Linked DNA regions of Macaca mulatta. The protein of the gene in region 2 interacts with the protein of the main gene of each other region in a biochemical or structural test. Links are inferred from orthologs where the notes say so. Each region holds a gene or a part of one and is shown on either strand. Other genes may lie near its edges.

Region 1 (2,686 bases), on a different chromosome or scaffold from region 2:
AACTGTATCCCAACAGGATTCATTCCCTTGTGAGAATCTGCAGGGACTACTATTTTCAAAATCAACACTGGTTAATGCTCTGAATGCTACCAGGAATAAAGGAAGACAGCCTGCCCAGCAAAAGACAGAGAAGAACCACTAGGGAGACCCCTGTACTTATGGTTTACAGATAGCCACCAACAAGCAGGAAGCCGATCCTGGTCCATTATGAAATAATATACCAGACTGGGAGAAGTGACTTCTGCTAATCTGTGTAAGATTTCAGAAGGTTTTCAATCCCCTGCTTCAACTTTCCAGCATTCTTTACTTCCTGCACTAATACACCAGCGGAAAACAGGACAGAGGCATTCAGGTAGGGCCACATTTCCCAGTTTTGTGTTGTAGTGCTCTGATTTGCAGTTCTTATTACAGCAGCAATGGCCTTGTGGAAGCAAGCAAGGCTAACATCTGCTTCCAACAGTCCTGAACAAAAATTTATCTGGGTATATTCCCAGCTTTCCTTTCTTCTGTCCCACCAAATTCATTAGGTAAATTGGAGCATAATCACCATTGGTACCTACCAGAGCCCCAGGTCTGGGTGCAGCTGCTGCGGTCTTGCTGAGAGCAGCCCTGCCTAGCACCTCCCAGCATCCCAGGTAGGGATGGGCTGCATTGCCTTCCTTATGACATACACATGTTCCCTATTTTCCAGTGCAGTTTCCAACCCTGTCCACGACTGCCTCGCCCCCACTTAATTTACCTCTCCTATACTTATGTGGTTTGCTTCTTATTTTTGAGATGAAACTGTAAACGTGAGAACTCAGGGATCTGAGGTACTTCACATAAACACACTCAAGTATGAGTCTTTCATTTTCTGAAAACAAGAACACAGGAAAACAAGTCCCTTTCCCTCTCCCCTCAGAAATGTGTGCATTTTCCCACCAGGCTAACAGTGGCTACCTCTGCACCACATCACTGATTTCCTGTACACATGACAGTAAGTTATTAAGGACAGGGTTTGCCCCGGGCACACCAGCAGCTGCTGAGGACACCTGTAGCTCCTGCAGGCTTAGCTCCAGTTTGCTCACAGCCTCTCGGAAGGCAAATTTGTTGCGAGTCTGAGGGATGCAGTCCACATAGCCTGAGCAGTAGTCGAGCAGCTGGTGTCCAGTGTCTACCAGCTGGCTGTTGGGCACAGGTTCCGTGATTGCACTGGACAGTAGGTCAGCACATTCCAGCAGGGCCTCTTTGCTGATTTTGTCTGCTGAGATTTTCTCAGCGGCCTGTTTGGTTTTTCTCAGAGCCACTTTAGTACCTGCTGTGCCGTTGGCCATTTTGGCTGGCGAGATGGACGATGTGGGCAGAGGCACTTGAGGTGGAGGCATCACTGGCCTCCCAGCTTTCCCACCGACGGGCACTGCACCCAGAGCTGCCTTCTTTCCTCCTTCCTGTGTTTCTGACGTGGACTGTCCTGCAGTCGGGGCAGTCGGCTCTTCTGTAGGGTCTGAGCAGATGGACGGATGCTGCAGTAGTCTCATCACTGGTGGTGGGGGTGGGGCACACTTTGGTTTTACCCGTCGGGGTCGGTCCTTGTCTCCAGAGGATGTGACCTGATGCTCAGATAAGAGCTTGAATTTATTCCCCTGAGAGTCTGTGCCAATGAGCTGCACGTCAGCTGGAGTGTGTTTCAGAGTGGGTGAGATAAGGACTGGCACTTTGTGGTTGTGAGTGGTTGGGAGGACGGGGGCAGCCTTGGCTGGAGAAGGCCAGCCTGGCTGCTCTCCATCCTCTAGAACTCCAGCCATCCCAAGTCGTGCCCCACCATTCTTCTCTTTGCCCTTGGGGGCAGCTGCCACTCCAGCCACTCCCACCCCTGGAGGGTCCTTCTCTGTAATGGCTAGATCCCCAGAGGGCGTTCTGAGAGGAAGAGCTGTGGCTCCTCTGGGCAATAACTTGGCTTTTGGTCTCTCCCTGCTTGGAGCAGCACCTTCCTCTGATTTTTTTGGAAGCATGTCATTGGCCCTGTCCACATTCTCTTCTGGCTGAGAAGAGGTGGACACTGTCCTTTCCAGCTGGAGTTTGGACCTCTGGCAGTTCCTGGGAAGGGTCATTGCCATCCTATCCTGCTCTGGAAGCCCTGAGGACATGGAAGATGTAGAGTTTGACCTTGGAAAAGGCTTGGAAGTGTCATCACTGGCTGTGGGTTTACCTGCTCGTAAGCCCAGTGTCTTTTTGATTAAGCGTGGTGTAAAGAAGCCTGTGATGCCAGACCACCCACCCCCAGCAGTGCCACTGCCCCCACCCCCACCACCGTCGTCATTACAGAGGTTCCTCTGTGCAAAGCTCCCCCCATAGCACTTGGGTGGCACCAGATTCGCCTCTTGCTGGGCAGGAGTGAAAGAGAACCCATCAGCATGCTGTAGAGAAGCAACAGATGAGAAGTTACCCGTGAGTTCGTATTTCTTATGGGGCTGATTCTCCATTTCTCGGAAGGAGCTGCTGCGTTTGGGGGGTGTGGGAGCATTTCTCTTTTTCATGAAGGAGCTGAAGAAGCCCCCCTTCCTATCCCTGGTGAAGCATGTCTCTTTGGCATCTTCCAAGAGGCTGCTGGGTGACTTGTCTCTTTGCTTTCGAGGCAGTGCTGGGGATCCACTGGAGGCCTGTGCACCTCTGACGAACCCTGACGAGAAATGGCCGATCAGTAACT
Region 2 (4,048 bases):
TCTCACTCTGTCTCCCTATCCCAACACACTCTAGCAACCTCAGCATCACTTTCCAGCCCTAGAGTATTTTTTAGCAAATACAGGGACACCTGGAGAGAAATAGTAGGAGATGCCCCACACTGAGCCTCCACCCAATTTCATTGTTAGAAGAGGTTCATGAAAAAGCCTTTCACCATGGCAATCCTCACCCGCACTAGGGGAAAGCCTAGACTAGAGGCACATGGCATGTCAGCCTTGGGAGTTCACTCTTTGCAAATGTGGTGGACAATGGGCTATGGAAAATCCTGGACTCTGAAGCCCTACCCCAGTCTCTTTCTTCTGGTTCAGCGAAAGACCACGTGTGGGGTGGGGAATAGGGGGTAGATACCACCTGTTCCAGCCACCCTTCCCTGAGGCAGTGGTAGTCAGTGGGAGGCAACAGTGGGAATGGAGGGAGGGAGACTGGTGAGGCCCCAATCCCTCTTATATACCCCTAGTCTGAATTCTTGACCTTGGAGGGCTCCTTATCACTCCCCATGAAGGTTGGCTAGTCCCAGCAAAGAGAGCTAGTTCCAGAGGAGCTGGTAACTCCAGGGTCCTTGGGTTGAAATGAAAGAGACTAGGAAGGTTAGTCATTTCTGGAACAGCCCCACCCCAGTCCCCTTCCTGGCAGGACACCCCCTTTCCCAAGTTATAGTGCCAATCCTTCTCCCCAGATAAGGGAGGAGCCAAGTTTTCTGCACAGGGAAGTAGTAGTGTGGGCACACACACACACACAACATACACATGAACACATACACATTGGTCCTGCTGGCCCAGGAACCTGTGGTCGGGTTTCCTTGCAGGAAGTATTTCAGGTGGCCCCATCTATCCCACGTGCCCATATGTGTTTGTGCAGACTTTGTGTCTGTGCTTGGAAGGCTACAGTGTTAGAGGTAGCCCAGTTCCCTGCTCCCCTGAGGGTAAAGTCCGTATTACACAAACAGGGGGCAAAGGGCCTGGGCAGGAAGGGAGCACAAACAACACGTCTGGGGAGGAGCTAGGCAGCTTGGGGAGCAGGGCAGGGGAAGGGAATCATAAAAATCCCTCCTGTACCCAGGGACCGGGAGCATAAGGAGGGGCAGTGGCACAGGCGCTCCTTTGGTAGAGAGCACTAGGGGTGGGATAGAGCCAGAATCTCCAGCCCCTCCTCAACCAGAAGCCTCCCCTCCAACATCCCCCACCCCCATCACAGCCAGGACAAAGGGGCTATAGAAGGACTGAGACAGGGCCGGATGCCCAGAGGCTGCAGGACCCAGATAAAGGGTAAAGAGACCCAACCATGCCTGCCTCCTGCCTACCCAGGGAGGGTGGCCAGACTCTGGTACTCCTGGGTTTCTGGGTGAAGATTGCAGGAGTCTGGATGGGACAGTTATACAGTCACCCCACTGCTCCCTCCCACGCCAGTCCCCAGACCACCCCCCTCCACCAGCTGGGAGTGTTCACATCTAAAAATCCCAGGATCTAAATTTAGGCCCAGCAACTGTGGGGGAAGCACAGGTGGTTTCTTCCACTCCCACACTGGGGAAGGGGCCCTGGCTGTGCCAAATCCCAAGCTGAAATCTGGGGGGAGGGGAGGAAATCCACAGAACTTCAAACCTCAGGTGTCCACGGCCCCAGAGACACCCCAAAGGGGTGGGTTCAGATAGCATGGGAGTCGGGGGAGGACTGGAGAAGAGCAATCCAGGGCTCTGTCTAGGGTCCTCAGACAATAAGCAAAATGGGGGCAGGGGGCACAAGATGGGCCCAGGTAGGACTCCCCAAGGCAGGAGGCTTAGAAAGTAGTAGAGGTGCCCTCTTGATCCTCCGGTTGGGGAGAGAAAAGACAAGAGGCTGGACAATCCTTGCCCCTACAGTTCCTGGCCCAGCGCCTTGTATATAGTAGATGCTCAATAAATATGAGTTGGGTTGACCTGGATCTTGACAAAGAGATGTTGCTCAAGCTCTGCTATTCTGAGGAAAGCGGGCGCCAGCCTCTGTTGGGCCTCCCGCCTGATGTCACCTGAACTTGGCCCTCTGGTTAATCTCAGACCTCCCCAGGGCAGGCTCACTCACGGAAGAGGAGGTGCCGCTCCTGTTTTTCCAACACTAGAGAACAACAACCCCCTCCAACCTTCCGTAGCTCCGCCCTGTCGGCAAAACAACGAAACTAAGAGTAGCAGAAATCGGTGCGGGGTGGCGGGCAGGAAGCTGGCGAGCAAACCGAGACCCTTCCGCCAAGGCCCCCACCTCCAAGCACCTCCTGTTTATAGAATTAAGGTCCCTGCCCCGCTCCCTGCAGGGTCCCTCAGAAGTGTGAACTACTGTTGCGGCCTCAGCCTCTTTTGGGGAGACCAATTAGAGGGTCGACGACGCTCTGGGGAAGGGGGCGTGAGGGTCCAAGAATGCCGCCCTCGGCCGGACCACGCCGATAACCCGAGCCTGATCGCCCCACTCCCAGGTGGTCCGGCGTACGGGGGCAGCACCCACACCCCCGCGCCGCCTGAGACCCTGCCCATGCCCTCAGAGGCTTCGCGCACTGGGTTCCGGCTCCCAGGTGCCGAGCCCGCCAGTGCTCTCGCGCCACTTACCTGCCTGAGAGTTGCCCACCTCGGAGCCCCGGGCCAGGTTGAAAAGCAAGCCCAGCACCTGCAGAGCGCCGTTCGCCCTCATGACTCCGCGGAGGGTGAAGGGAGCCCAGCCGAGTCCGGCCCGGGGGCCCCTAGACTAGGACATCCAGGCAAGAGCCACCTGAACCGCAGGCGAATTGGTGGCTGCTGCGGCGCAGCGGAGGTTGCAAACTGCAATCGGAGCCGGAGCCGGAGCCGGAGTCCGGGGCAGGATGGCAGGGGAGGGGTGTGTGTGTGTGTGAGAGAGAGGGAGGGAGGAACGCAGAGGGAAGGGGGTGAGTCACGGCCGCGCCCCCTCCCGCGCGAGGCTGGAGTAGGGATTGCGGAGCCTCCGACTGCCCGCCCCGAGCGCGCCACGCCCCGCGGTCCCGCAACTTGGCGGAGCAGATCGAAGATGGGGCTCACCCTAATTTTTCTGCAGGAGCTGAGCCAAGGGGAGGTCAAGATTCCAAAAGCCCCCAGATCCAGGGAAGGGTAATGAATGAGGGAGTGGTAAGCGCTCCAAAGCCCAGCCTCCTGAAATTTGGCCTCGCCCATTAACCAAATCACTCAACTCCCCTAGCCGGTTGGTTCACTTGGTGGATTTTCTCTCAGAATGTGAATATTTCTCTCTGTGTGTTTTTGAGGGGGAGGGTGTTTTTTGCCTCACGTCCAGGCCACCTCAGTTTCTCCCAGACTCGAAACCCCATAACTCATCCACCCAGCCCAGGAACCCGAGCCAAAGAGGCCGCGTGAAATTGCACTGTCTCCGGCCGCTTCCTCCTCCAGACCCGGCGCCGGCCGGGCCTCTCCCGGGATTTGGATGGGGGGCGGGGGTGGTTTCCAGCCTGAGAACAGACCCCGGAGCCCGCCTTTCCACTTCTACCCCGGGAGGGGCTCCCGCACCTGTCGCCGTCCCCTCTGCTGCCCCCCACGGCCGCCTGGGAGAACAGCTGCCTCCCCTTCCACTCTGGAGTCTGGCCGCACCGTCCATGCGGCCGCAGTTCCCGCCGCTCTTCTGGGGACCCAGATGGGCACACACCAAGGCGCTCACACCCTCCCCGGTGCCTTCCAAGTCCAGGCTCGCGCAGGAAAGGGGTGGGGCGGTGAAGCGGGATGCGGAGAGGACACTAGAGACTGCGTCCACCAATGGCGTGGACCTCTGGAACCTCCAGCACCAGCTGCCCGGACTGGCCCAAAGCCCTGCTAGTCCCGGGACGGATCCGACCGGCGCCGCCTGGTGCCCAGCCTGTGGCAGTGGAGTCCCAGACGGCCTTGCATTTCAAATCCCTTAAACTGGTATTGGGGATCTCGCCCAGAGAGCCTAGTTATTTTCCCCAGAACTTCAAGCCTGAAGACTTCGAAAACAGTTGAGTCTTGATAAACAAAAATTTCACCCCTCAGGCCTAGCAAAGACTACCGGCTAACATTCCTTAAACAGG
Region 3 (3,500 bases), on a different chromosome or scaffold from region 2:
TGAATCTGTGCAGCTCCCTCAAAGCCCTGCACCTGGCATTAAGGCCCCCATGATATGGCTGGGGCTACCTCCCTAAGCCGACTGCTACAGGTCCCTTGCACAGACCCTTTGTTCCAGCCCCATCAGCACACTCACTGCAAGCTCTTCGTGGCATTTTCTGTCCCCACACTTATGCCCATGCTGTGCCTCCCACCTGGAACACCCCCTGCCTTTTACAGCATCTATCCAAATTTCCCCCAGTCATCAGACCAGCCTAAGCCTACCCCCTTCACAAGGTCTCCCCTGTAAGTGCCCCCACAATCCTTCCTCAGCTCCTGTACCATTCATTGCTGGCCCTGCTCGGCTAGGAGCTGATCGTGCACTGCCTCATGACTGCTATTCCGCGAACAGTCAGCATTCCTATTAACATCTTTTATTTCTCTGTTCCATGATGAATTCTTCATCTGCCTAACTAACCTTGGGCACCCCCGGCGCCCCTCATAGTCCTGAGGAGGAGACCCTGACCTACCTGAGGAGGTTTCCCCTGGGCAAATTCTGCTCTCGGGCCTGGACGCCACCCATGGTGAGGCTCAGCCTCTTGGTCACGTCTGGCCTTCCCTCGGTGAGGCTGCCCTCCCGGGCCTGGCCTGGGGAGATGCCATAACGCTCCTCCAGGCACCGCAGGGGCACCGTCCTGTTGATGGGCTGGAAGATGATGGCGCCACTCTGCTGGGAGATGGGCCGGCGGTTGCCCACGTAGCAGCGCACCAGGCCAGGGATGGAGTCGAAGCTCTCCATCTCGAACTGGTACTGCACGCGGCTGTAGGCCTCGCTGAGCCGCAGAACCGTCCGGTTGATTTTGAAGTGCTGAGCGAGGTTCTTCCACTGACAGGTCAGGACAAAGTTCCCAGGGCTGGACAGAGAGTCACGAACTAGGAAGTCGCCATCTCGCTGCACAAGGTTTTCCGACACCTTTGGGACAAAAAGGTGAGTGAGGGGTAGGAAAGGCAAATTCACATTCCTTCTAAAAGCTTATGGCTACCCACTTCTCTGGGCCAACAGAAGACAATGCTACTATGTCTCTTCTTGGGCCAGTTCTTTAGTTTTTCAAATACCAAATTCATAGGAGATCCAATCATTCATTCACCTTGTGTTCATTGACCACCTACTCGTGCCAAGAACCACTGCAGGCTCAGGGGATGCGGTGGTGACAGCGGCACCGAAGAGCCCAGCTCATGGAGCTCCTGGTTTTGGTGGGAGCTTCTGTTTGAGTGAGGATAAATAACCAACAGCTATGCACGCCAGTTGTAAGCTCAGGGAAAAAGTGAACCAGGAAAGGAGGCAGGGAGTGCTGGGGAGGGGATGAGGGCTGTCCAGTAAAACAGGGTGGTTGGGGAGGTGTCACAAGAACATGATGTTTATACGGACCTGAATGACGTAATGCAACAGGAAATAAGAAATGAGAAAACGTGTGCCTGGCAGGCCTGATTTTCCCTCCCCAACAAGTGGAGTGAGGAGAAAGAAGGTATTTGTTGGTGTCCAGAAGTCGTCCTCGGGGCCCTCTCCTAAGATGCCCCTCTCCAGGCCTGGCCAATGGGGAGGAGGACTCTGCATGCAGGACTAGGGTATGGATTCTGGACACACCAATTACTGGCTAGGAGGCCTGGAACAAAGTCAGGCTGGGGTCCATCTTACAGTTACTATGAGGGTTATGTATTTGTATACATAACATATGCAAGCGCTGGAACACGGTGGATGCTCAAAAATAGTTAACTAGCATGATGCTGCTGCTTATAGCAACTGAAGAATTTATAATGTGGTACAGCCTGGCTGTTCCTGTAGCCTGACCACCTGGGTTTGCATCCTGGCTCAGCTGTATGACTCTGGACAAATTACATAATCTCTTTGTGGCTCACTTACATCATCTGAAAAACACAAATGATGATATTACCTACGGAATGGCTATAAAGATTTAAGGGGCTAAAATGTTAGCAATAACTTGTTATTATGGTTATGGTTATAGTGTTCAGTTATCCAGTTTGGAACGATTTATCACTGAAAATTAATACTCATGGCTAGTAATAAACAAATTTGATGACCATGATAAGGAGACGGACAGTGGTGATAGTCATCAGTTTTATAATTCTGACAATTTTTCTGGGACATTCCAATATTTGATCAACAGCATACTTCTGCTAGCTCAAAAGAGTAGGCTACCATGGTTACTTTAAAATTGCATCTTTGCCTTAAAAATGTTTTCACATAGAAATTTCATTTCTTAGAATTGAGCCTGTGAAAATAATTGTAGGTATGAACATAGCAATCATAAAGGATGTTGGTCAAAGTATTAGAAACACTCTACGTGTCCAATAAATTGTGGTGCATGCATACCGTGGACAGACATACAACATAGTCTGGTGCAGAAGAATATTCTACAGTGGGTGAAAATTCCCAGGACACAGTGAGTGAGTAGAATGGGCTACCAAAAAAGTATATGCAGTACGATCTCATACTTGATTTCAAAAAGCCTGGGGTGATGTCTGTACACAAAAGTATTCATCATGGTTATCCCCAGGAGAATTATGAGGAGAATTATGGATGAGTTTAATTTCCTTCTTTTTGCTATGTATATTTTCTACAATCAATTTTAAACTTAAAAAAAAGTCAGAATAATAATTATTTGATTGTGCCAAGAAATCTGATACATTAAAAAAAAAAAAAAAAAAAGCCTGGGCGCAGTGGTTTACGCCTATAATCCCAGCACTTTGAGAGGCCGAGGTGGGTGGATCACTTGAGGTCAGGAGTTCGAGACCAGCCTGGCCAACATGGTGAAACCCTGTCTCTACTAAAAATATAAAAATTAGCAGGGCGTGGTGGTGGACACCTGTAATCCCAGCTACTGGAGAGGCTGAGGCAGGAGAATCGCTTGAACCCAGGAGGCAGAGGTTACAGTGAGCTGAGATCGTGTTATTGCACTCCAGCCTGGGCGATAGAGTAAGACTCTGTCTCAAAAAAAACAAAAAACAAAAAAAAACTTAAGACATGATGCCCTTCCCCCCAGCCCCTGTCCACACATTTCCTGTCATGTTGTCCTTGGTTAATGATTGGCCAGGTCAGGTTTACAATAAAAACCCAAGGGAAATTCTATGCCTCAATTCTGCGGACTTACTCTATTTTTCAATTTTTACAGTATTAAATGAAAAAACATTATTCATGGCAATCACCCAAATGACGATCGCACAGTATATTCTGGGCCACGAGTCTGTGGTCATGGGTTTAATTCCCCTTCTTCCCCACCTCTGGTCACGGGATCCAGCAGGGAAGCCATGGAGAGTGTGAATAACTGCCAGCTCACCGGGCCAGAGGCAGCCTTGTTGGTCTGGGCCACCGCCCTCTCTCCTCCCGAAGCTAAGCCACTGCCTTGAGAAGGAGGGGCTGCAAAATGGTCTGAGGCTGCTGGCAGCTGGCCAAGAGTTCAATTACCTGGGCCATACCCCGCCCTCCTAGTTCTTCCGGTTGCT
Region 4 (4,233 bases), on a different chromosome or scaffold from region 2:
TTGAAGGGCAGCCATGGTCTATTGTTAATGTTATTACTAATAACAGCTCACATTTATTAAACATTTATGTGTCAGACAATGCTAGATATTTTTACATGAATTGTCTCATTTGATCCTGGAGCAACCATATATAGTGGATATATTACTACCCCCATTTTACAGATGAGGAAATCAAGACTCAGAGAAGGTAAGTAACTGGCTGGGAAACATACAACAAATATATGGGCTTCAAATCCAGACTTGCCATCAACCACTGTGCTACATTTATTGCCTGCTAATATGCATGGTTTAAAATGCAGTCTGTTACCCAGGAGATCTCTTGAGAACTTTCAGCCAGTGCCACCAACTCAACACAGCATAGGGAGCAAGGAAGGGGACCATGCCTGGAGTCTGATGCCTGAGTGACGTTCCCAGGATTATCTCAGCTCTTTGCAGTGCCCATCCTTCCTCTACTTTGGAATCCACAGGCTCTCAAGTCACTAAAATATTCTCCCAGTGGCTGACAGGGTCAGTGGGGGCACTGAGGAAGGCGGCTGCCATTTCTAAGTTGAGCAGCTGCGTTAGATCTGTGTCAGATCTGGAGTTTGTAGCTGAGGATGGCTGGCTGCCTCACCACAAGACCTTCCTTCCTCCCAATCTCCTCAACCATCTACACACATGCACACCATACCCAAGAAGGTTTGTGGGACCCCCCCTTTGGGGTGTCACTTCCTGATCCCCCTCCTTCACACAGACCTGGTTCTGAGCCCGGGTCTCTCTAACCCCAGTCTCCGGGGGTCCCTGCAAGAAGCAACCTAGTCTGGAGTTGCAGACACACCATCTCTTCACACTGAGAGGCGGGGGAATGGAGTGGCAAAGCAGAGTGCCCATCCGACCACAGCACAGGCACGCGCTAAGTGGAACAACTCTCAAAGATCTGGGGTTTTTCAAAATCCCCCAACTCCCTCCTCCCACTACAGACCAGCACAAAAGCAGCCAAGCTCAGGCCTGGGAAGGCGAAAAGGCAGGAAACCAAGAGAAGCCGCTCCCGCTCCCTGAAGCCACCGGACAGAGGACAAAGGGCTAGACTCCAAACTAGCTGCACTCCTGAGAAGAGTACCTGACTCCAAGGCGCTGGGGCAGGCCTTTATGGGGCCCATCTTCTGGGAACGTGCTTCCCAGGGCAAGGGGAGTCCCTGTTCTGGCACTGAGTGTCTGCCCACCCACATAGGCTTCCAAAACTCAGCTTTGGGACAAAAGTAGCATTAAAAACAAAACAAAACAAAACAAAAACAAAAAAAACAGCCACTGCCTTCTCTCAGGCTTCTCCAAACCAAACAAGACCACCTTCCTCCCTCTCCCCCAGAGGGAGATGAGTAGGCCCGGCTCTGCTCCAAGACCAGCCCTACCCAACATCTGCCTAAGTTCTACTTAGGGAACCCAAAGGTTCCTTTGCAACCAAGAGCCCAGCCTGGGGGCCCGGAGAGTTTCACAGACTGCTCTTTCTGGAAAAAGAGTGGTGGGCGGGGACCGTCTGGTCAGGCCCCAGGTTCCCGTGCTGGGTTGGGGCCGCTGCCTTAGCTCCCCTCAACGATGCCACCACCACTCCCAGGGTCTGGGGGGGCCCGATGCCCGCACCGCAGATCTCCAGCCCGCGAGGATTTTTAGGCCTCAGGGCAAAGCTCCAGGAACAGTAACTCCCCCCAGCTGGGGGAGGGGGTGTCCTGTCAGGTGACCGAGGACCCGGATGCCCCCCGCCCCCAGTGACCACCCGAGACGAAGCGGGGGCGGGGCCCCGAGGGGGTGGGGGAAGGCCCGAAAGTTTGCCCAAGTCGCTGGGGCGGCCGGCCGGGGCGCAGGCAGTTGGGCCGGGCTCCCACGACCCTAGCGCGCGGCGGGCCCAAGCAGGAAGGGGGCGCACTTACTGGCCCCCTCTATCTTGTCGGCGCCCCGGCTCCACGTGATCTGGCGCGTCTCCAGCTTGACCTGGAAGGTCTTCCGCTCGGGTCGCTGCGACTTCTTGGAGTAGAACAAAGTCATGACGGTGCCCACCTCGAGGCTGCGGCAGAGGTGCAGCACCTCGGCGTCCGAGGGCGCGCCGGGCCCGCAGCCGTTGGCGCAGGGGGATGCGGCGCCCGCCATGGCTCCGACGCTGGGGGCGGCGACGGCACAGGCCGGGACGGCCCGGGAGCAGGCGCAACGACGCCGGCTGAGGTTGGGGCTGAGGCTGAGGCGGCCGACGAGCGGGACCCGGCGGCTGCTCCTGCAGGCGGACACGGGGCGGGGCCTGAGCGCGGCAGGGCGGGGCGGGGCGGCCCTGAGGCCCCGCCCCGCTCGCGCGCCGGGAACAAAGGCGCCCGCGCACCCGTGGGGAGGACCCCCGCCCGCCGGCCCGCTGCGCCTGCGCCCCACGACCCCCAGACAGGCCGCAGGCGGGGACGGAGGCTCGATGGCGGCGGGAGCGCGCGCCGTTCCCGGTCGACCCACCCAGCCCTCAGTCCCGCAGAGCTTTCTCACGCAGCCCCGGACACAGCCCGGCGGCCACGAGCGGCCCTGTCACGCACGGCAGCCCCGCCCACAGGCCGCAGGCCCCGCAGCCGGCGCGCCAGTCAGGCGTACTCGCACGGGCGTCTGCCAGCCCGCGGTCCCGCACAGACGCAGCCCCCGCGTCCCGAACACCGCCCATGCAGCGACCAGGACGGGACGCGAGGAGGTGGCGCGTCCTCCGGGCATGCCTGGCCAAACCCAGTTACCTGGGCGGGCTTCCCGGCGAAGGGAGCCAGGCCGGGCCGCCTCACACCGGCGGTGGCAGCGGGTTCTCCGCGCGCCCTCTCCTGAGAGGGGCGGGGGCGGGGCCGCCTGCGGATTGGCCGCAGGCACTGATGGACAGCCGACATGTCCCGCCCCCCGGCAGCGCGGGGCTGGCCCCTGGCCGCTCTTGGGACGGCCAGACCCACGTCTGTCTGTTCCGCCTCTGCTGCCAGGGTGGCCTTCAGTGGTCCTTTCGTTCGGAGAGTTCCCCCCAGCCCCTTGCAGGGGCGTTAAGTCCGCGGCCGCGCTGCCCAGCGGCCTGACCTGCAGCTCCCAGGGCCTTTGTGTCTGTCCTTCGCATGGGCCTCTGTACGCTCCGTCTCCACGCGGCGGGACTGGAGTCTGATCCCGGGCGCCCCTCCTGCAAATGCTCTCCTGAACTTTGATTTTCCCCGCCTTACTTTCCTCCTCCTCCTGTGGCCGCTGCTTCTCGATCTCAGAAGCTTCTCTTCCTCTGCACTCAGTGCTAGGCCAGATCCCAAGGCGACCTGACCTTTCCCCTGGCTTTACCCGCCACACAGGCACCGATGACTCGAAACCTGCATCTCCCCTACGTTCCAGGCCCCAGCATCCCACTGCATGTGCCACATCCCCCCACCTTAGACAGCTCACCTTCCCTCCCCAAACGGTTCTTTCCAGTCTTCACTTTCTCAGAACGTGGCGCTAAACTCCTCTAAGTTGGAAGGCCAAAAACCTTGCAGATAACTTTGCTCCCTCTGCCTCACCTCCAATCCATCAAGATCTGTTCACTGAACCCACAAGCTGAAGGCCCCATCTCCTGTCACCCAGACTATTCACTTTTGTTTTGCCTGGATCTATTCTCCATGCTTTAAGTCTTTACAATGAAATTAAATAATGATCCCCTACATCCAGCCTAGAACCCTCCATGAATTCCTATTGCACCTAAAATCCACACTCGCTGCTTGGCCTAGCAGGTTCTATATGACCTGCCCATCTCACCAGTTTCATCTCTCACAAGTGATCCTTCGCTCTCCATTCTCCAGCCACAAGGCCTTTTTCTGGTTATGGAATAATTCATACTCTTCGTCTTTCTGAAGCCATTCTTGAAACTCACCCCTGCAATCTATCTGCCGCTGTCAGCACCGCCAAAATTGAGGACACCAACGGTCGCAGTGGAGTCTGATATGTTGAGCCAGGCAGTGGGTCGGCTGCCAGACACAGCAGGACAACTTACTGCATTTCAGAGGTGAGAAGCCCAACAGAGCTTCCAGCTGATGCCAGAGAAAGAGCCAGGCTTCCTGGGATTTGTGGGATAGTAGGACTAGAGTTTGTAAGTATGTAAGAGTGTGTGCTCAGGCAACCTACTCAGCTGGATAGTGACCTGGGGCTGCTGCTTCTGACTTTGTCTTGCTGTAGTGGAAACTTGTGTGTTTCGTTGATATCCTCAAGTGCATCCCCTAAGAAGCTCAGAATTCAGCATGA
Region 5 (3,500 bases), on a different chromosome or scaffold from region 2:
TGGACTTGTTCTCAGTAGTCCTTTGAACTAAAGGTACTACTGCACCCTGAATGCAGTCAGTCTCTAACCCATAGAAGTTTTTCTAGGTGCATATTAGTTTCTTTTGGGGATAACTTGACTATACTAAAGCCCTCAAATGGACTTTTGCTACCTTCCTTCTCGTTTTAGAATGAGGTGCCTTCACTCTGTCCCACCCATACACATAACTTCCATACAAGCCTGTCCCTCCAGCCCTTTATCCATTCAGGGGCTGTGGTCATTGGACAGAAATCTTTACAGCACTTTCACATGAATAGAATATTCTGTGTTTAGGAGACATGCTCTGAATGGATTATTCGGAGGAAATAATCCCCCCCGCCCCTCCTTTTTTTTTTTATCCCCAAGACTAGGCTGTGGAGCTCAGATTCTGCAAAGCCCTGGCCATCTAAGCTGTCTCTGCATGAGGGAGAGAGAAAGGCATGGAGGAGGAAGGTTTACTTGGTTTTGCAGTAGGCCACCACACACATGATGCCAACCACAAGGAGGGCGATGCAGATGCCAGTTATAGTCAGCACTCTCTTCTGGTACAGCTCCTCCGCCTCTGGAAAGGGATGAGAGCAGATATCATCACAGGTCACTTCCACTTGCCAAGACTGACTACAACCAAACAGTGGGCATGCTGCATGACATTGTCCATGTTCACAAGAAAATAAATACATGACAATTCTTTATGTTTACACACATAGCTAATGTACAACATGCTCTGCACTATGCTTTGAACATAAATAACAAAGCCAGCTGGGGCCATTTACAATACAAATATTATACTCAAAAATTACTTCTAATGATAAGCTATAAATATATATATATTTGATAGTAAATTGGAAATCATAAACATTAATTATAAAATAACTATTTGGTTAAAACTGTAGTTTTTTTTTGTGAAGTCTTGCAAAATAAAATATAAAAAGCTCTTGCAAAGACAACAGGAATCAACATCAATTAAAGGAGCTGGGATTGGCAATTACTGGAGTCTCCCCTTCCTCCTTCCTCCCTTCTTTATCCTCCAGCTCCTGGCCTTTTTGTATTTCCCAGCTATTTTGTATCATCACTTTATATCCAGTGGTCTTTACAAAGAGTTATTTCTAACTTAAATATATTAAATTCAAAGACATTTGCAAACATGAACTTGGCTTGTAGTTACCTAGTAAATTGAGTCAGGCTCTCTGTGATTTAACAGTAAAATGTGAACACAAGAAGCAATACAATATGACGTATCAGGGCACTGTATCAAAGAAAATCCCATGTGATGGGTAGGACAGTTATGGGCCCAAGTGGAGACTTGTCCTTTGGAAGACAATTCTAATTACTCCACCAATTGGACTTAGGAACAAGTTTATTTGTCCAAAGAGGTCACCAGTACAAATGATGTGTGATTTGGAATAGAGTTCACATTCATACATTGGCCAACTTGGCAAATGAGCTAATGTAGGTTATGCTAAGGAAGTGTGATGCTTAGAACTTTGAACTAAAGATACTACTGTACCCAAAATGCAATCAGTCTCTAATTCATAGAAGTTTTTCTATTTTCGAATTAGTTTCTTTGGGGGATAAGTTGATTAGACTAAGGTAGGTCAGGTTCTTAACAAGATTTGCTGATTTAATAGGGACCCTGATCCCTTAGGACCTGAGCTTCCAGTGAGTCTAATTACATCTATTGGAAGATCTTCACAAGTTCACTCAGAAAGAGAACTCGACAGCAGTGTAAGCTGTTCACTTGCCATTATAATCAATAAGTTGGTCAAGAACTGGGGAATACTGTATAAACAGAGCTGACTTATCTGGACATCAACAAGGGACCCGCAAAGCCTATTTCCATATTACATCTGCAGTGGCACAACTACACCTTTAACTACACCTTTTTCTCTTTTGAGAGAGGGCAGCTTGCAAGAAGTTTTCTTGAAATGAAAAAGTGAATTTTAATTTCTAGGATACAGTGGACCTTATCATGAAACGAAACATTTCCTACAAGCCGAGCCCATGATAATCAAATTCCAGTGAACAGGTCAAGAACATTGTCAAATCAAATTAATATAGCACTGATTATTAACAGGAGGAGAAGGAGAAGAGAAGTCAGTGGGTAAAGGACTAGAATGCTGCATAGATTATACAAAAACAAATCAAAAGGAGGTGGAAAGGAAAAACAAACCAAGAGGACAGACAGACTGACAGAATGACAGAGAGACCAAGGAAGGGAAAACAAGGTTAAAAGTTAAGGAGCCATCTGAAGTCCCTGGCACAGCATGCCTGATACTAAGGGAGGAAAAATAAATAAAGAAAAGAAAACCAGAGGGAGGAAATGCTTGGGTGGGAAGAAAAGGTAGATGCAAAGTTGGAAGGGTCATTCCATACAGCATAACTCCTAATCTAAGCTAGCAGTCATGTGGAAGCCACAATTAGAAAGCGAAGCGGCTGGTGCATTGCGGTGAAACAATGTACTGGGAAATATTGCATTGGTGTCACAGATTTTTTTGTATGTGCAGCAAAAGTCAGATGAGGACAAGGAATGTGAGTGCTTATATGTTAATTGCGTGTGTCTGCTGCCTTCCCTCTCCCATAAACACAGGACAGGGAATTAATTTCTATGGGGTATCTGGTTGATGCTGCTGCTGTAGCCTCCCTTCCTGATCTTGGTATCTTGATCAGGTTTTAGGATACATGTTTAAGAAGCAGAGCTGTCACCCCACTGGTCCTTCTCCCTGGGACCCAGGACGCAGAGCACAGCTCCTTGGGCTGTGAGGAGTTGGTGAAGAAGTAGGAGTGTAGGTATTATTGCCAAGAGATGAACGCCCTGTATGACTGTCCTCTTTTCCTTACTCTACTGTTTTCTTCTTTGGAGATGGGCAAGCCTGTGGTCGTTCTTTTCTACTGATATCTTAACATCCTATCTTTAGAAAGAAGCTGGGAAACTGCTTCTGCAAACTTCAAAAACGGGGACATGGACAAGGGCTAAATGGGAAAAAGGCATCATGATTACTCTCAGGGATTCCTGGGACAAGTTGTCTTTTGGTTGTTAATTACAGAAGAATAGATTGAGCTGCGCTTGGAAACATATGGTGCATGATGACGGGTGCATTCTTTCTATGCTGTGTAGGCAGACACACATTTTCCAGTAAAATGATCATTTCATGGAAATAAAGAGGTAGCTCAGTAAAGGCCAAAGGGTAATGTAACAGCACTAAAACAAACTGATTCAAGCCAAGGCCCATAGAATACAGACGTGGGATTAAAATCCTGTATTCACATCAGCATCGACCAGATGCACTACAACTCTCATCCACATTGCTATTTGAATTTTTCACGGTTTGGCTCAATCAGGTGATCCCACACTATGAATGTGATCAAGGAAAAATACTTGGTGAAAAATAATATAAACAATAGATTCTTTAACCTGTTTTTCCCCATATTTTTTTCTTATGTGTCAGGTCAACTGGGGAAGAGCAAATTAGAGACAGACAGGG
Region 6 (3,500 bases), on a different chromosome or scaffold from region 2:
TCATAAATATTTATTGTTTCAATCAAGGCCGATCCTCTTACTCCAAACAAATGATAAACCCCATTCAATAGAGGAGTAAACAGTCACGTATCAGATAGCTACAGACATTGGCTGGTATTCAGTCTTTAGCATGACACATACACTAAAATAGGTTTGCTCAGGATATGTAATAATTTGTGCCAGTGGAACAATAAAGTCTACTATTTAATTTCCTTTGCTTCAGAAAAATGTCATTAATTCAAGCACCACCGATTCAGAAACCAGAATCGTGTGTGCCAGGCTAACATTAGCTTTCATGTCCCTGTAGGAAAAAAAGTTTACTAAGCAAAGGTAAAGCACAGCTCAGGTGTTCTCTGAATTATACCATCTTTCACATTATTTGTGTCTGAATTAGTGAAGTGAAATGATACTTAGCTACCTATAAAAGGGACAGGAAAGAACAAGATGAGACAGACAAGAGCAGTTAAAACGTTATGGGCTTATAGAATTTTTGATGATTTTACAGTGATTTATTAAAAGTTTATAGAGTAATAGATTAAAATTATAGCACATAAATTGTCACCTCTCATTTGACTTGCTGGCTACATCTACTTTCTCATTGCATTTTTCTTACATAACTTCTAATTGATTATATGGTTATGAATAGGTTGACTCATAAATCTGAGCTTCCAAACCCTGTCAAAAATTAAGAGTAAATCATACCTGTAGTACCTTGTGTACTTCTAGCTGAGGACTTCTTCTCAACTGGATACTGCAGAGGTATTACAATGCCTTGATCTGGCTTCTGAAATGCTGAAATGAGATTTTTTATTTTCCGGAAATATCTTTTATGTACCCCAGGTGCTGTCTGGAAAATAAAAGGCCAAGAAAATTATTTACCTATCTCAAAATGATACAAAAAGACCTACAAAATGTGCTAGGGATGCTAAGAGAGGTAACAGTTGTGTAACTTGTTGAAATATTTGAAAACGTAAGAAAGAAGGAAAAACAACATTCCAGAAGAGTTTACTTTGGTTGGCTGAATTTCCCTGCAAGAGGAGCTAATGAGCTGTCATTTCAGTTCTCCCAAGGGTGGTATTAGTTTGTAGAAGCTCTTGCTCATCGCCCTGCCCTTCCTGCCTGCTCCCCATCAGACATCTCAAACCTCTAAGGGTATACAGGCCATTACCCACAATGAATTCACCAACAGAGGGGATGCAGTTAAACAGGAAAAAAAAAAAAAAAAACAGATCCTACAGGTCATTAATAAAAAGCCTGAGGAACAACAACAAAAGAAAAACCAACAACCCATCCTCCCTGCCATCATCCCACAATATAAAATGCTACACAGGAAATTAAAAATTGGCTGTTATGATACACACAGTGCACGGCTAGTTCAGTCCTCATACTCTTTCATCTCATAATATTTCCTGCGTCATTCTTCACATTAAAATTTTTCCTCCTTGGGAAACTTCCCTATACTCCCAAAATTATTCTCTTCATCAGCATGTCACTGTAACAAGGTTTTCTCTATGACATGAAAATGAAAGACTATATAAGGTCACCTTTATTTATTTGTGTATTTTTAAAGAGACAGTTATTTGCAGGTAACTATTAAAATGTATTCCTTTCCTGACATCAGTTGTCTTGCAAAGACACTGCCTGAAATCAACAACAATTTCCTGCAAAAGCTTATGAGCCAAGCTTCAGGCATCAGCTCAAAACTGTCATTTTACATAAAATAAAGTAGTATTGCTATGAGCAATTGAACAATGACTAGTATTTTTTTTTAAGTTGTTTTTCAGCTATTCCATCTGGAAGATTTTTGAGGTGGGAGCTGTTTGTTTTTTTAGAATTTAATGAGAAAACATGAAGGCTGGCATGAAGACTTCTGTCAGCTAGACAGCGGTATGCTGAAGATAGCATACTACACTATCCATAGTAACTCTCAGTCATTTCCTTATGTTGGGGTAATTTTTCATTGAAAACATGACAAAAATTCTCTTTAGCTCTATATTAGTGTTCCCCCATATGTTCACAGTAGATGTAGAACACTCTCTCACCCAGCTCCACCCCACTCTCTCACCTACCCTCCACCTTCCTAAAGCTTGATTGAGAACTCATCCAAAATAACATGGCCATTCTTGCAGAAATCCAAACAGTTCTTTGGTTCCAAGATAGAATCTCCAAATTGCAAATGCAGGCCATAGGCACAAATTGCCTCCTTATACTCTCCTCAGTGCACTTTTTCATTTGCAAAGCACATTCCTATCTCTTGCCTTCACTATTTCCTCACAAAATGGCAGTTATTGGCTTATTCAGTTATTCCCATTTGACAGATAAGAAAATGTGAATGTAAAGAAATTAATCAGCTTGCCCAAAGTCACACAGACAACCAGAGGCAGAACTGGCTCTGAATCCCAGGACCCAGTCTCTTGCCTTTCAGATTAGAACTGGGTCAAACAGGATCTAGCGAAGCTAGGGTCATCAACCAGAAGAGAAACTGTACACTCCCCAAGTGTGGAAAGATTTCAAACCACACATCTTTTTGGCTGTTCTTGTGGCTTGTAAAACCATTTATCAACAGAAGCATAGCCGGGCACAGTGGCTCACACCTGTAATCCCAGCTTTTTGGGAGGCTGAGACCAGTGGATCACCTGAATTCAGGAGTTCAAGACCAGCCTGGGCAACATGGTGAAACCCCAGCTTTACTAAAAATATGAAAATTAGCCGGGCGTGGTGGCGCACACCTGTAATCCCAGCTACTTGGGAGGCTGAGGCACGAGAATCCCTTGAACCTGGGAGGCAGAGGTTACAGTGAGCCGAGATCGTGCCATTCCACCACTCCAGCCTGAGCGACAGAGTGAGACTCTGCCTCAAAACAAAACAAAACAGAGAAGCATCATTTTTATGGGTACTGATATGTAGTTAACACTTGATTATCCATGCTAACAGAGAGGAATAATAGCACTGGAGGTATGGAAGCTATTTGAATTGGGGATCTGATGTTTCATAAGCAAATGACTGGCCTATTTTACAGTGTTTTACTTAGATTAATAAGGACAATTATTTAACATCTGCTGATCTCCTGATCATATACCCAGTAAAGCCTGAAGACAGTGATGTCAACAGGGTGACATCACTGTTGTGATGTCAGTACATTTTAAATAATGTATTGCCAACAATTCACATATTAATAAGGGAAAGTAGATTGTAGAATTATCTAAATTAACAATTTAGCAAAATTTTAGTCTGAGTCATATAAGATAATACACTAGGCAATGATTTAACCTAAAAATCTCTCTAAAACTAGAAATACACATGATATCTGTCTTTCATAATTCTGTGGGGCCAGGGTTCGATTTCATTACACTCTTTAAAACAAATCTCACTTACCTACATTTCTAGCACAATATATGCACAGATGATGGCGTGTTACTGCCCTGATTTTTCCTGCAGCATGGCAAACTAAAACATTGTTCCAAAAATCAGTATTAATATCTATCATTTACCCAGCTTTG
Region 7 (3,500 bases), on a different chromosome or scaffold from region 2:
AGTCCTTGCTTTGTAGCTTTGGGCAAGTCCCTGCACCTCTCTGTCCCTCAGTTTCCCCAACTCTCTAAAGAAAGTGCTGGCCGGGGGTGGTGGCTCACGCCTGTAATCCCAGCACTTTTGGAGGCCGAGGCAGGCAGATCACTTGAGGTCAGGAGTTCGAGACCAGCCTGGCCAACATGGTGAAACCTCGTCTCTACTAAAAATACAAAAAATAGCTGGGCTTGATGGCGCTCGCCTGTAATCCCAGCTACTTGAGAGGCTGAGGCAGGAGAATCGCTTGAACCCAGGAGGTGAAGGTTGCAGTGAGCCGAGATCACGCTGTTGCACTCCAGCCTGGGCGATAAAGCAAGACTCCATCTCAAATAAATAAATAAATAAAGTGCTGGGCTACTCTGGCCTGGGTGCTGTGTGCCCCTGCGCTGATCCCTTGACACTTCTGAGCCACAGTTTCTTCATCTGGGGGCCCTGCCTTCCTCCCTTGCAGGGTGGCCTTGAGGGTCAGTGGGAGAGACAAGTGTGGACACCCCGGGTGGGTATACAACAAGGAGGTAGGTGGGGATTTGGGACATCCAAAGGCTTCTTTCCTTGAGGTGGATCTTGCCCCCTTACTCCAGGGTCCTCCCTCCAGTAACCCCACATAGCTTACTTCCCTGCCTGAGTGTGTGTCCAGCCATCACAGAGCCGAGACAGGCCACACAGCCCCAGTCACACGCCCTCGCCTCACTCCATCAGGAGGGGACACCACACCCTCTGGCTCACTTCTGGCAGAACCCCAGGGTCTCAGGTGCTCACCTGTCCTCTGACAGGTCCCTGGAGAGCTCGCCAAGCTCTGCTCCCTCCTGGCCTCAACTTCTCCATCTTCTATATGGGCTGAAGAATATGGCCAGGGGCAGCTCAGAAGAACTGGGAGCCAGGGATCCAGGTTCAAGTTCAGATTGTGTGACTGTAGGCAAGGGCCTTTCTCTCTCTGGGCCCTGGTGGTGGGTGGGGGCCACCCTGCCTGCAGCGTGTCTTCTCAGGGTCGTGGTGAAGTGCAAAAGTGGCCTTGGATTGAGAAGAGCCCAGCAAGCTGTCAAGCCCTGTTGCACCCTGTAGGGAGCACTCCTTCTGTCTGGGAGTCAGGAGCCCCGGCCTGGCTGTGTGACCTTGAGCAAAGAGGCCTTTGCTTCTCTGGCCTCAGTCTTCCCAGCTGTACAGTGGGAATGAGAGGGGGCTGGACCCTAGTTCCCAGGTCTCCCTGCCCATTGACCTCTCCTCACTCCCTGTGGACCCTGTCCCTGTCCCCTTGGTTGCTTTGGATGTGAGGCCTCTGTGGCTGCCCCCTCGTCCCCTGTCCCCAGCACCGCCTGGCTCTCCCGCTCTCTCCCCTGCTCTTTCTGCCACTCTCCGCCTCTCACCACCCCCATCTCTGCCTCTTCTCTCCTGTTGGGCTCTCGCTCTCTCCTCCCTCCTCTGTGTCTCTGGACCCCCGCTCCAGCCAGACCTGGTTCACATTCAGATGGCTGCAAAGGTACTTCCGCCCCTCCCCGCTCCCACCCAGGCCCAGGGGACCCAACCACGCCGGGAGCTCCTCCTGCCCCTTCCCCATCACCCGCCCCCCCCCCTTTTCCTCACTTTCGCATAGAAGTGCCCTGGGCATCGGGGCTCTGCCACCTCACCCCCTCTGACAGGGCTCACTGTGTGACTTTGGGCAAGTCCCAGCCCCCTCTGGCCTCAGTTTCCCCCTGCAGATGGGTAGGCTGGAGGAGGGGGCCTGTAGTTTTCAACTGAGGAGCCCTTTAGGTGTGACCCGTGATTTGGGACAGAGGCAAGCCTTGCTCTCGTTTGCAGGGTTGGGGCCTGGATGGTCACTGGGTCCCAGAAGGGCCCTGCTTGCCTCCACCCAGGTCTCACCAGCTCCCAGGAGCAGGCTTCCGAATCTCAGAGCATGGGGACACTTTCAAGTCTCACTTGACTTTCTCTCAGGCAGGAGTCTCTTCTATTACAACCTTGCTTGCCCGCAGAGACAGGGGGCTCCCTCCCTCCCTCCCAAGGCAGCTCTCCTCATCTTGAGATGTCTTGGTACATCTGAAAGGAAGCGACTTTCTTCCTGTCCCGGGACTCCTCCCCTGTGGATTTGAGCCTCAGATGACTAAGGCCAGTCCTGCCCTGGTCCTAGACAAAGTCCATCTGATCCAGCTTCGGCAGAAAGGCGTCTGGGCCAGGGAGGGGAGGAGTTCCAGGCCAGCTGGACCTGGCATGCTGCGGGGACTCATGCTGGCCCCACCACCTCCCTGGGCCTCCCTCAGCCACTAGAGCCCTGAGCACAGCACCTAGGAGGATGGTGGGTGCTGGGCTTGTGGCTGACGGCTCCTTTCTCCTTTTCTCCCTCCTTCTGTCCCTGCTCAGAGAGGGAGACTGGTGGCTGGCCCACTCGCTCAGCACGGGACAGACAGGCTACATTCCCAGCAACTACGTGGCGCCCTCCGACTCCATCCAGGCCGAGGAGTGAGTACTGTCTCTGGCTGCCTCTACCCGTCGTCCCTGGACACTGCCGGTGCAGAGCACCTCTCCTGGGCTGGGGTGGGAGGTCTGGCTGCCCAGCGCCCCAGCCATATCCAGGGAGAAGTGCTATGAGTGGGCAGAAGCCCGGACAGTCAGCAACATCCTCCGTCCTCCCACTCCCAGGTGGTATTTTGGCAAGATCACCAGACGGGAGTCAGAGCGGTTACTGCTCAATGCGGAGAACCCGAGAGGGACCTTCCTCGTGCGAGAAAGTGAGACCACAAAAGGTACGAGCACTCTCGTTGGCCAATGGATACTGAGTCTTCTGTGAGTGGTTTGAGCTGAGTGTTGAGGAATGAGCAGGAGTTTGGTTTGTGGAGTAGGGAGGGAAGAGCCTTCCAGGTGGAGGTAACGGCAGGATCAAAGTCAGGGAGGTGCATTTGAGGAACGCTGAGTAACCTGCGGTGGCCAGATGTCCAGAGAAAGATGAGGCTTAGCCTCTCTGGCCTCAGTTTTCTCAAATGAAAGATGGGCATAGGTTGTCTGGAGGTTTTTCTGAGTGTCACACAGTAACAGGCTTGTTCCCAGGGTAGGTGCTGCTACAAAGAGCCCTGCTTCTTCCCCTTCCCCAGGGGTCCCTGGGCTGCACTGGATTCTGGAGGCTGGCTTTGCCCTCCCCCAACCGCAGTCCTGATCCCTGCCCCTCTCATGTCCCTCCCCTGAGCCAGAGAATGAAGACCATCCCCTTTCTCTCCAGCCCCTCTGAGAGTGGGTTGCAGGCGCCCATCACCATGGCAACCAAGCTGGGCTGCTTCCTGTGGGCCTGGGGCTCAGCGGGAGATGGGGAGCAGAGCATCCATGTCGAGCCGTGCATTTACGTACAGTTGTGCGGCCGTGTGCGGGTGTGCATGCTGTGTGTACGTCTGGGCGTGTGTGTGTGTGTGCATGTGGGGTGGAATTGTCTGTGTGTCGCTGTGTGGGAATGGACTGTTGTGGTTTGTCTGGTGCCCGAGGGC

What was found.
Region 1: the proteins of ERBB3 (region 2) and ABL2 form a complex in vitro, tested with the Homo sapiens proteins (2 studies listed by BioGRID and IntAct, with this or other methods). The link is inferred for Macaca mulatta from reciprocal best matches to the Homo sapiens genes ERBB3 and ABL2.
Region 3: the proteins of ERBB3 (region 2) and BCAR3 form a complex in vitro, tested with the Homo sapiens proteins (2 studies listed by BioGRID and IntAct, with this or other methods). The link is inferred for Macaca mulatta from reciprocal best matches to the Homo sapiens genes ERBB3 and BCAR3.
Region 4: the proteins of ERBB3 (region 2) and PLCG1 form a complex in vitro, tested with the Homo sapiens proteins (2 studies listed by BioGRID and IntAct, with this or other methods). The link is inferred for Macaca mulatta from reciprocal best matches to the Homo sapiens genes ERBB3 and PLCG1.
Region 5: the proteins of ERBB3 (region 2) and NRG1 form a complex in vitro, tested with the Homo sapiens proteins (8 studies listed by BioGRID and IntAct, with this or other methods). The link is inferred for Macaca mulatta from reciprocal best matches to the Homo sapiens genes ERBB3 and NRG1.
Region 6: the proteins of ERBB3 (region 2) and SH2D1A form a complex in vitro, tested with the Homo sapiens proteins (2 studies listed by BioGRID and IntAct, with this or other methods). The link is inferred for Macaca mulatta from reciprocal best matches to the Homo sapiens genes ERBB3 and SH2D1A.
Region 7: the proteins of ERBB3 (region 2) and SRC form a complex in vitro, tested with the Homo sapiens proteins (2 studies listed by BioGRID and IntAct, with this or other methods). The link is inferred for Macaca mulatta from reciprocal best matches to the Homo sapiens genes ERBB3 and SRC.

What each region holds. Positions count from the first base shown.
Region 1 is NC_133406.1:36,515,432-36,518,117, forward strand, and holds the end of ABL2 (tyrosine-protein kinase ABL2), read right to left. Parts: intron 2,660-2,686; coding exon 936-2,659; 3' UTR 501-935; downstream 1-500. UniProt on the Homo sapiens protein: Non-receptor tyrosine-protein kinase that plays an ABL1-overlapping role in key processes linked to cell growth and survival such as cytoskeleton remodeling in response to extracellular stimuli, cell motility and adhesion and receptor endocytosis.
Region 2 is NC_133416.1:63,230,624-63,234,671, reverse strand, and holds the start of ERBB3 (receptor tyrosine-protein kinase erbB-3), read right to left. Parts: upstream 2,801-4,048; 5' UTR 2,671-2,800; coding exon 2,589-2,670; intron 1-2,588. UniProt on the Homo sapiens protein: Tyrosine-protein kinase that plays an essential role as cell surface receptor for neuregulins.
Region 3 is NC_133406.1:146,683,880-146,687,379, reverse strand, and holds part of BCAR3 (breast cancer anti-estrogen resistance protein 3), read right to left. Parts: intron 952-3,500; coding exon 509-951; intron 1-508. UniProt on the Homo sapiens protein: Acts as an adapter protein downstream of several growth factor receptors to promote cell proliferation, migration, and redistribution of actin fibers.
Region 4 is NC_133415.1:93,999,907-94,004,139, reverse strand, and holds the start of PLCG1 (1-phosphatidylinositol 4,5-bisphosphate phosphodiesterase gamma-1), read right to left. Parts: upstream 2,801-4,233; 5' UTR 2,733-2,800; intron 2,243-2,732; 5' UTR 2,122-2,242; coding exon 1,905-2,121; intron 1-1,904. UniProt on the Homo sapiens protein: Mediates the production of the second messenger molecules diacylglycerol (DAG) and inositol 1,4,5-trisphosphate (IP3). Plays an important role in the regulation of intracellular signaling cascades.
Region 5 is NC_133413.1:34,576,718-34,580,217, reverse strand, and holds part of NRG1 (pro-neuregulin-1, membrane-bound isoform), read right to left. Parts: intron 581-3,500; coding exon 478-580; intron 1-477. UniProt on the Homo sapiens protein: Direct ligand for ERBB3 and ERBB4 tyrosine kinase receptors. Concomitantly recruits ERBB1 and ERBB2 coreceptors, resulting in ligand-stimulated tyrosine phosphorylation and activation of the ERBB receptors.
Region 6 is NC_133426.1:130,812,685-130,816,184, reverse strand, and holds part of SH2D1A (SH2 domain-containing protein 1A), read right to left. Parts: intron 848-3,500; coding exon 703-847; intron 1-702.
Region 7 is NC_133415.1:90,249,329-90,252,828, forward strand, and holds part of SRC (proto-oncogene tyrosine-protein kinase Src), read left to right. Parts: intron 1-2,388; coding exon 2,389-2,487; intron 2,488-2,667; coding exon 2,668-2,771; intron 2,772-3,500. UniProt on the Homo sapiens protein: Non-receptor protein tyrosine kinase which is activated following engagement of many different classes of cellular receptors including immune response receptors, integrins and other adhesion receptors, receptor protein tyrosine kinases, G protein-coupled receptors as well as cytokine receptors.